Linked DNA regions of Daphnia pulex. The protein of the gene in region 1 purifies or fractionates together with the protein of each later gene. This does not show direct contact. Links are inferred from orthologs where the notes say so. Each region holds a gene or a part of one and is shown in the gene's direction. Other genes may lie near its edges.

Region 1 (3,927 bases):
TTAACCAGAAACAAAGAGGGGGTATGTTATTTTTTTTTTTTTTTTTCAACCAAATACTACGGCTGTATGGATGGGGTAGTGGGGTAGTAAATCAAATGAAAAAATCCTGTGAAAGCAATAGGTTTTGATTTAAATAAGCAGCTCCGATATATATATATATAAAATTTGATATTTAATAATCAATTTGATTGAAATTCAAAAGTAAAAAAAAAAAGTTAGAATTTATTATTTTTAACCGTACCTTCCGCGGAAATCGGCACCGCCACGGGGCCCTCCGCGGCGATCACCTCCGCGATCACCACCACCACCTCCTCCTCTGGGTCCATTCCTCTCTCTGGCTCTGCCAGAAGACATCTCCACCCTCACACGAGAACCACAAATCCTCCTACGAGAAGTCAATAATTAATTTTACATAATTAATTACCATTGTATGTAATTTGGTTTCTTACGATCCATCCATGGCTCTAACTGCATCTTCAGCATCTCTGGGATCCTCATACTCAACAAATGCAAAGCCAGGGGGATTTCGGGCAACCCAAACATTTTTCAAGGCTCCATATTTGCTGAATGAAGCTTCCAAGTCACCTCTGGCTGTGTTATTGCCCAGATTGCCAACATAGACTTTGCATTTCAAATCCCATTCACGATGACGCGACATTCTAAAGAGGAAATGAAAATTTTGATGTTGAAATCTGGGTTTGAAAATAACTATGCTCGATTAACCGCCATCTTGCTTGGCTAGCCCGACCAAAGGCATCACCAAAAACATAAAAAGCATCTCTAATGAAATGCACAGAAAAACAATTGCATACACAAAAATGAACTAACAAACAACAATAAAGAAGAATGTTGTGACTACCTTTCTTGTTCCGGAATTTTGAATGTATTTTCTTTAGCAAATTTGGTTTCAGTATCGTTTTCAACGAGATGCTAGATTAAGAGTAACCTGAAGCGGAGTGAAAACTGACTACGTCATAAAGCTGTCAACAAAATGGAAAATCAGCGCTGCCATGCGGCAACAAAATCAACAAAAACATTTTTGCAAAAGACAAAAAAGTATGATTTTAAGTTTGTATTTGGAATATTGTGCAATTTTTAATCAAGGATATTTTTATCAGATTTATATTAGAATTTTTTATTACAATTAGATCGTCTTTAGATGGCGTTGTAGACGAGGCAACAACAGATTGATTTTCGAAAAAAGTTCGTCTGCTAAGCCATATTTTTTTAGAAATCTTTTACAAACAAACTCGAGTTATTCATCCTTTGACGATTCTATTGAATCAAATTATTATTTTGATTTGAAGTTTTGAACTAATATTGGCATTCTACTTTAAAACTATAGTTGCTAATATAAATCCAATTATATACAAATAAAAGCGGTTCTTCATCCGTCACGTCGAAATACGATAGCACTATATCATTGCTTTGCCAAGTTTGAGGAAAATCTTCCCGAATGCTATTGATGTGTGTTCGATTTTGATTTTCTCAGAAGACAAGGCCTATGATGTAGATGCTCATTCTTCCATTTACACATTGTAATTCATAGATATTAAGACCAGTTAACTTTATTTGTGGATTTCCAATTCCACACCTTATCTTAAGTTTGGTTTCTACTCTGTGCATGACAGAATTTGAAATGGAAGAGATGAAAGATATTTTGGAAGGTTCTCAACTAGTGGATGATATTGATCCCGAAGAAGATGACGCAGATGGACTGTACAAAGATTTCAGTAATATGAGAGAGTTTCATGTATTAGATGAAATAGTTGAAAGCAACGCTAATGATGACGATGAGTGTAAGGAAAATTCAGAGAGTGATTTCAGCAGTTCCAATGAAGCAGACAGTGAAGAAGATTTTGATATACAACAAGATGAAATTGATGCTATGTTGGAAGAAGGTAACTTTACAAACTATATGACATTTGTTGTGGATATTTTTTACCTGTAACTTGTAACTTTTAAGGTTTACCAGAAGAAATGAAATCTAGGAAAAAGTTCAAAAAATCAGATGGTTCTTCCAAGCCATCTGGTAATGGGGATGCAAGTATGGCATATGAAGAAAAAGAAAAAATTGTTCTTGAAGGTAACACTTTCAGGTTATTCCTTAAAAACATTTAATTTAAAAAAGTTTTTTAATTTTTATTTTGTGTTTTTAAGAAAAGGGTAAGAACCATTTCGAAGTTTTGCCTGAAAATTGGGTCCAAGTTACACACAACAGTGGAATGCCTATCTACCTTCACAAACCTACACGGGTTTGCACCCTTGCTAAGCCTTACTTCCTTGGACCTGGAAGTGCCAGAGTAATTTTTAAATTAAACATTACTTTTTTGTTTCTATTTAAACTCCCGAGTTCCGATCTTTAGAAACATGCAGTGCCAATTAGCGCCGTACCTTGCCTACATTACCAAAGAGCCAAGGAGAAAGAAGAACAGAAATCCGAAGAGCTATTAGAGGCCTCAGCTAACACTGCAGCAGATGGTACTGCTCATGTTGCCCCTGATATCCCCTGTGCTCGGATCGAATCAGTCCAAGAGAATCAGGCAGCACATTCTCTCAATGGAGTTCAGCTGCGCGAATACTGCTCCAAACGATTTGATTTTAAAACCGTCCGCCTTATGCGATTTAAGTGAGTAATTTGCTTAAATCTTATTAATACCTACTCATTCATTCATCGTTAAAAAATTCATACAGAACATGGGCAGCTAGGAGAAAGCACACCAAACTGCGGAAACAACGACAGATTTACCCCCAATCTGGTCTTTCCTTGAATGAGGATAAGAAACAAGTGATTGGCTCAAGCCAAAGCCCTGTTGAGGATGACGATGCTAAATTGTCACAGACGGCTGAACTGGGTCGACCAACTTTACCTAAAGGGACCAAACTTATAACCTTCCCTATCGGACATTCCATTCCGGCAACACACAACGATCCGACCTCCCAAAGCGAAGGACAAGGTGCTGCTGGTGGAGCTAATGGGTAAGTAAACATTATATATTGAAGGCTTCAATTGTGATAACAATTTCTTGTTTGTAAATCTCACAGTGGATCGCGACGGGAATGGATTATGAATCCGGCAGGGAAAAGTTACGTTTGCATCCTCCATGAATACGTTCAACATGCCCTTAAGAAGCAACCTGCCTATACATTTAAAGAAATTGGTATATTCGACTGCCCATAATGCAACGATTTTTGTTTTCATTGTTTTATCGGGTAATTTTTGTTCGACAGAGAATGCAGCAACGCCTTATAGTGCTACGGTATTGATTAATGGAATGCAGTACGGTACTGGGGTCGGTTCGAGTAAGAAAGCCGCCAAGGCGGAAGCAGCGAAAGCGACACTAGAAGTTCTTATTCCACAGATGAAGGAAAAAATATTGGACGAGGCGGAACCAGGTCACAAGGGACCAAATCATCAGTCTGACTTAGATCTATCCGTACGTTGCATTTAATTTTGCTATTAGATGCATTGAATGGTGTTACTTACCGTTTATTGTAAAGCAGTTTTTCAACGAAATTCGAATAGAAGACCCTCGCGTTGCCGAACTGTGTGCAAAAACGAGCGAACCATCCCCTTACGCAATCCTCCTCACATGCCTTCAAAGGTGATTCAACAGTTTTTCTCTTTAGCGTATTGAACGATTTTCAATAATTATGAATGTTGCAGAAACTTTGGTTTAGGCGATAAGAACGTCAAGTACGAGCTCAAAACATTGAAACATCAGAAAAACGAAGTAATAATGACGGTTGGAAAGCATACAGTTCAAGTACCATGCAAGAATAAAAGAGATGGAAAGCAAAGAGCAGCCCAGGCCATATTGCAGGTGAATTGTAATCAACTTGAACATCAGTTTCAGATTTTTAAATTTTGCGATTTGTTTTTCTTCATCTGGGAGAAGGCGCTGCATCCTCACATTTCTAGTTGGG
Region 2 (3,927 bases), on another chromosome or scaffold:
TTTTCGAATTCATCCATAAAAGGTGGTCTATGTACGAATTTAAAAAAAAAATTATTTATCATTTGCCACAACCATCACCAAACTTTGTAACACCTTATATTTTTCATTGTCTCCAAGCGCTTGCGAAGACGCTGGAGTTCTAGACTCTTTTTATCGATTTTTTGATCCATCGAAGCTTCAGTATTAGATATACTATCAATGGCCTCCTGCTTTTGACTGATTTCCACCTCCATTTTTTTCATTTTTGATTGCAGTGCAGTTTCAATTTGTCCCAGCTCATAGGTTCGCTGTAGCACTTGATCACGCTGATTCTTCATACGCATCTCTTGGCCTAAAAAATCGTGTATGGAAGCTCCTTTTGTTGTAATCTCAGAAGCAAGTTGACGCATTTCACGAACATCTTCCGCCTTGAATCACATCGGTGTCAATACTAAAACCTTGTAATGGTAATCTAATAAATTTACTTGACCACCAAATCCGTAAAGAGAAGGCTCGTTATTGTCACCTCCTTTACGAGCAAGCTGCAAGGCCTCGTAAAAAAAATTGGCCACGTTGAGAAGCTCTCTCACTGCTATATTGTCCGCTAGATACAAATAATCATAAAAAATTACTAGATCTATTACGTTTACATTTATCGTGAATCACTTACCTTGGTAAAGTCTTTTAGGATTTAGCTTTATTTGTAATTTGGTATTCTGAAAGAGGAAAGTTGTTATTGTATTAAATATATCACGGGCATTAAAAATTTTAATAATAATAAGTTTAAGAAAGCATTTTACCAGGAATTTTACAACGGATGTTACGAAAACTACGCGCTCCTGTTCTGTTTTTATGAGAAAATTAATTCCACTGTTGACATCCAACTGCTGGCAAAACCAATTCAATATCTCAGCTACTAATCCGAAATTAGTCGATCGGAAATTCTCGCGAGAAATTAAACGCGGGTAACCGAGTAAACACATTTTATCAATAAAATCTATAATTTTTAGAAATCATTATAAAAAAAAGAAGAAACATGTATCGTCTCAAAGATTTTACAGAAATCTTTATTTTACCTGTAATTTCTCGATACGACATTTTTTAAATTTTGTTGGGCTGCTTAAAAGGAATGAATAAGTCTTGAGGCGAAGTTTGTTTGAAAGCATGGCTATTAATGTCTCCATAGCAACTCTGTGTTTAGGGAATGACATGGTTATTATTTTATTCTAAAATTAACACCTACAATTTTTTATTGTTGACATATAAAATATTTTATTATTGAATATTTTCTCAAACATTGTATGATTGTAAATGATAATTTTTCAAAATGTAAGCGAATTTTCAAGATAATGATTCCAATGATGGGGTGTTTAGGGTTGATAGCAAACTGGTACCTCATTTTAATGGCGAAGGATTTCGGCTGTGAACGTGTCTTGGCCCTGTTCACGTGTTGTTGCTCTCGAAGCAAATGTGTTACCAGTAAATTTGTGACTTTTGGGCATGACGTTTTGACGAAAAAATTATTGAATCCACTGCTATTTGTTTCTCTAGTTTGATTTGTTTCATTTTGTTGACATTGTGCATTTTTGTTATGCCTGCTTCGGTGGCCGATCCGGTGGCTCTCGTACTGCGAACCGCTTTGAGCGGGAAAAAGGGTCCTTACTCGCATGAAACAGAAAATGCTCCAGAATTACTCGAGGATCGGTTGGCAGCATCTGCCAAGAGAGTATTGCTCTCATCCATTGAATATGAACCTGCTCCTAAACAACAACTACTTTCGCTGGACACATTGAAGAGCAAGTATACTGTGCTCAATTCCAGCCTTTCTGCTAAAATCACATCCCTAAATGGTATTTTTATCAGTTCCAAGTTACTTCTTTCCCTTATTAATAAGTTTGTTACATAAATTAATGATATTAAATGTAGGATCAAGTCCTGTGACAATTCAAGATTCGCTCCCAGCCCCCAAGGTCACCCTGTTTCGAAGTGAAGATGTGAAAGTTGGGTGGAAAGGCTCTGTACCAGTTGGAGCTGGCATGATAAATATGGGAAATACTTGTTATATGAATTCAACGTTACAAGTAAGTATTAAATCTTTTTTATGTACATACATTATTTAATGTTTTTTTTTTTTTAAATAATTTTAGGCACTTTTCCACGTCCCATCATTGTCTAACTGGCTGTCGAGTGTTAGACAATGTAAAAACTGTGATCCTAATGGAAGTCAGCTCTGTGTTGTGTGTATTATTGCTAAGACACTTCAGTCTACGCACGACAAATCAGGATCTGTTATCAAACCCATTTTGGTCTACAATAGACTAAAACTGATTTGCAAACATTTAGTTCATGGAAGGCAAGAAGATGCCCATGAATTTATGCGATACTTAATGGAAGCTATGGAAAAGGCGTATCTTCAGAGCGTCGGTGGAACTAAACTCGACTCGCGTAGTAAAGAGACTAACCCTCTCGGGCAGATATTTGGAGGCTACATACGAACTGAGGTTACTTGTTTGAAGTGTAAACACACATCAACCACCTTCCAACATTTTCAGGTATTTTTTTTTTTAAAAAGGTGATAGTTATTTCTAAAGCAAGTTAATATTTTTCTTTTCTTCTTTATATGTAGGACATCCCTTTGGATATTCAGCATGCCTCAACTCTAGATGATGCTTTGGGTCATTATTTCCGTCGCGAGAGGCTTGAAGGAGACAATGCTTATAAATGCGAAAAATGCAAGAGCAAGGTCCCTGCTACCAAAAAATTTTCAATTGAGCGCGCCCCGAATGTACTGTGCATCCAGTTGAAGCGTTTTGGACTCATGGGCGGGAAAATGTCCAAGCACATCCAGTTCAGTCGTAACCTGAACTTGAATCGCTTTCTTTTTCATCAGTCGTCGGGTGGACCCTGTGTTGCCTACAAGTTTGTATCGCTCATCAATCACATGGGTCCATCACAGCATTGCGGTCATTACACCGCGATTGCAGAGGCAAGCAATGGACAACTGTATCTCTTCGACGATTGCTCCGTCCGTCTAATCTCACTTAATGTCGCAATGAGTACGGGCGCATATGTATTGATCTACGAGAAAGTGCAATCGTCTCCTTCTACTCCTACTAATAGTATGGCTAAAATAAGTAACATCCAAGCTAACAGTCCAGCTCCTTCGCCTAAGCTTCCGATTCCACGACCGGCGATAATTTCAGAGCCCTCTCGTCCAAAAATCCAAATTGAACTAAAAAAGGCTGATCCTCTTCTAACAAAACCTCGATTGATTATGCGAAACGGGTCGGCACTATTCAAATCTTCTACGGCGCTCCCCCCTTCTCCTGTTGTTACTGTTGCTCCTGTTAACGTATCAGCCGTCAAGGAAGAACCACGCGTCGTCCCTGTAACTGCTCCAAAAACCTCCCCACTTAAAAATCCGACCGCCTTGGTGCCTTACGATGGCGAATCGTCGGATGAAGAACCAGAGAAAGAAACTGCCACAACCAATGCTACCACAGAAACCCATTCATCATCTGCTGTTTTGAAAGCTACCGAAACCAAGTGGCAAGTCAGCCCATCTCCAACTCCTATTGAGACACCAACTACAGTGTCAAGTAACGGTGGGCCCACAGTCGCCACTAAGTGGCAAGTATCAGATAACACTCAGCAGGACAACAGCAGCAGCAGTACCACTAGCAGCGGCAGTGTCAGTCAGAAATGGATCGTTCGATCATTGAGTGATACTGAATCAGAAAGAGCTAATCCAACACGTAGTGAACAGAAGGTTTACTACAGCGACACAGAGATGGATCCACCCTCTACTAAGGACACACCACCTTTAAGAAAACTGGGTAACAAGATTCGTCTCATTAGTGGGAAAATATTTGGACCTTCCACTAAGCAAGTCGACGCAAAACTGACAAACGAAACTTGTAAAAGTAAGGATGCAACCCTTCCGACTGA

The links.
Region 2: the proteins of microprocessor complex subunit DGCR8-like (region 1) and ubiquitin carboxyl-terminal hydrolase 36-like purify together in Homo sapiens (affinity purification with western blotting; 3 studies listed by BioGRID, with this or other methods). This does not show direct contact. The link is inferred for Daphnia pulex from reciprocal best matches to the Homo sapiens genes DGCR8 and USP36.

What each region holds. Positions count from the first base shown.
Region 1 is NC_060024.1:13,485,467-13,489,393, reverse strand, and holds the start of microprocessor complex subunit DGCR8-like, read left to right. Parts: upstream 1-1,210; 5' UTR 1,211-1,624; coding exon 1,625-1,901; intron 1,902-1,966; coding exon 1,967-2,086; intron 2,087-2,160; coding exon 2,161-2,303; intron 2,304-2,366; coding exon 2,367-2,629; intron 2,630-2,694; coding exon 2,695-2,979; intron 2,980-3,045; coding exon 3,046-3,161; intron 3,162-3,231; coding exon 3,232-3,437; intron 3,438-3,501; coding exon 3,502-3,605; intron 3,606-3,667; coding exon 3,668-3,824; intron 3,825-3,899; coding exon 3,900-3,927. Other genes in the region: RNA-binding protein 1-like, read right to left, coding at 242-385, 450-658.
Region 2 is NC_060018.1:5,362,383-5,366,309, forward strand, and holds the start of ubiquitin carboxyl-terminal hydrolase 36-like, read left to right. Parts: upstream 1-1,370; 5' UTR 1,371-1,570; coding exon 1,571-1,829; intron 1,830-1,905; coding exon 1,906-2,060; intron 2,061-2,126; coding exon 2,127-2,531; intron 2,532-2,605; coding exon 2,606-3,927. Other genes in the region: clusterin-associated protein 1-like, read right to left, coding at 1-27, 94-407, 465-583, 650-695, 780-976, 1,056-1,077. UniProt on the Homo sapiens protein: Deubiquitinase essential for the regulation of nucleolar structure and function. Required for cell and organism viability.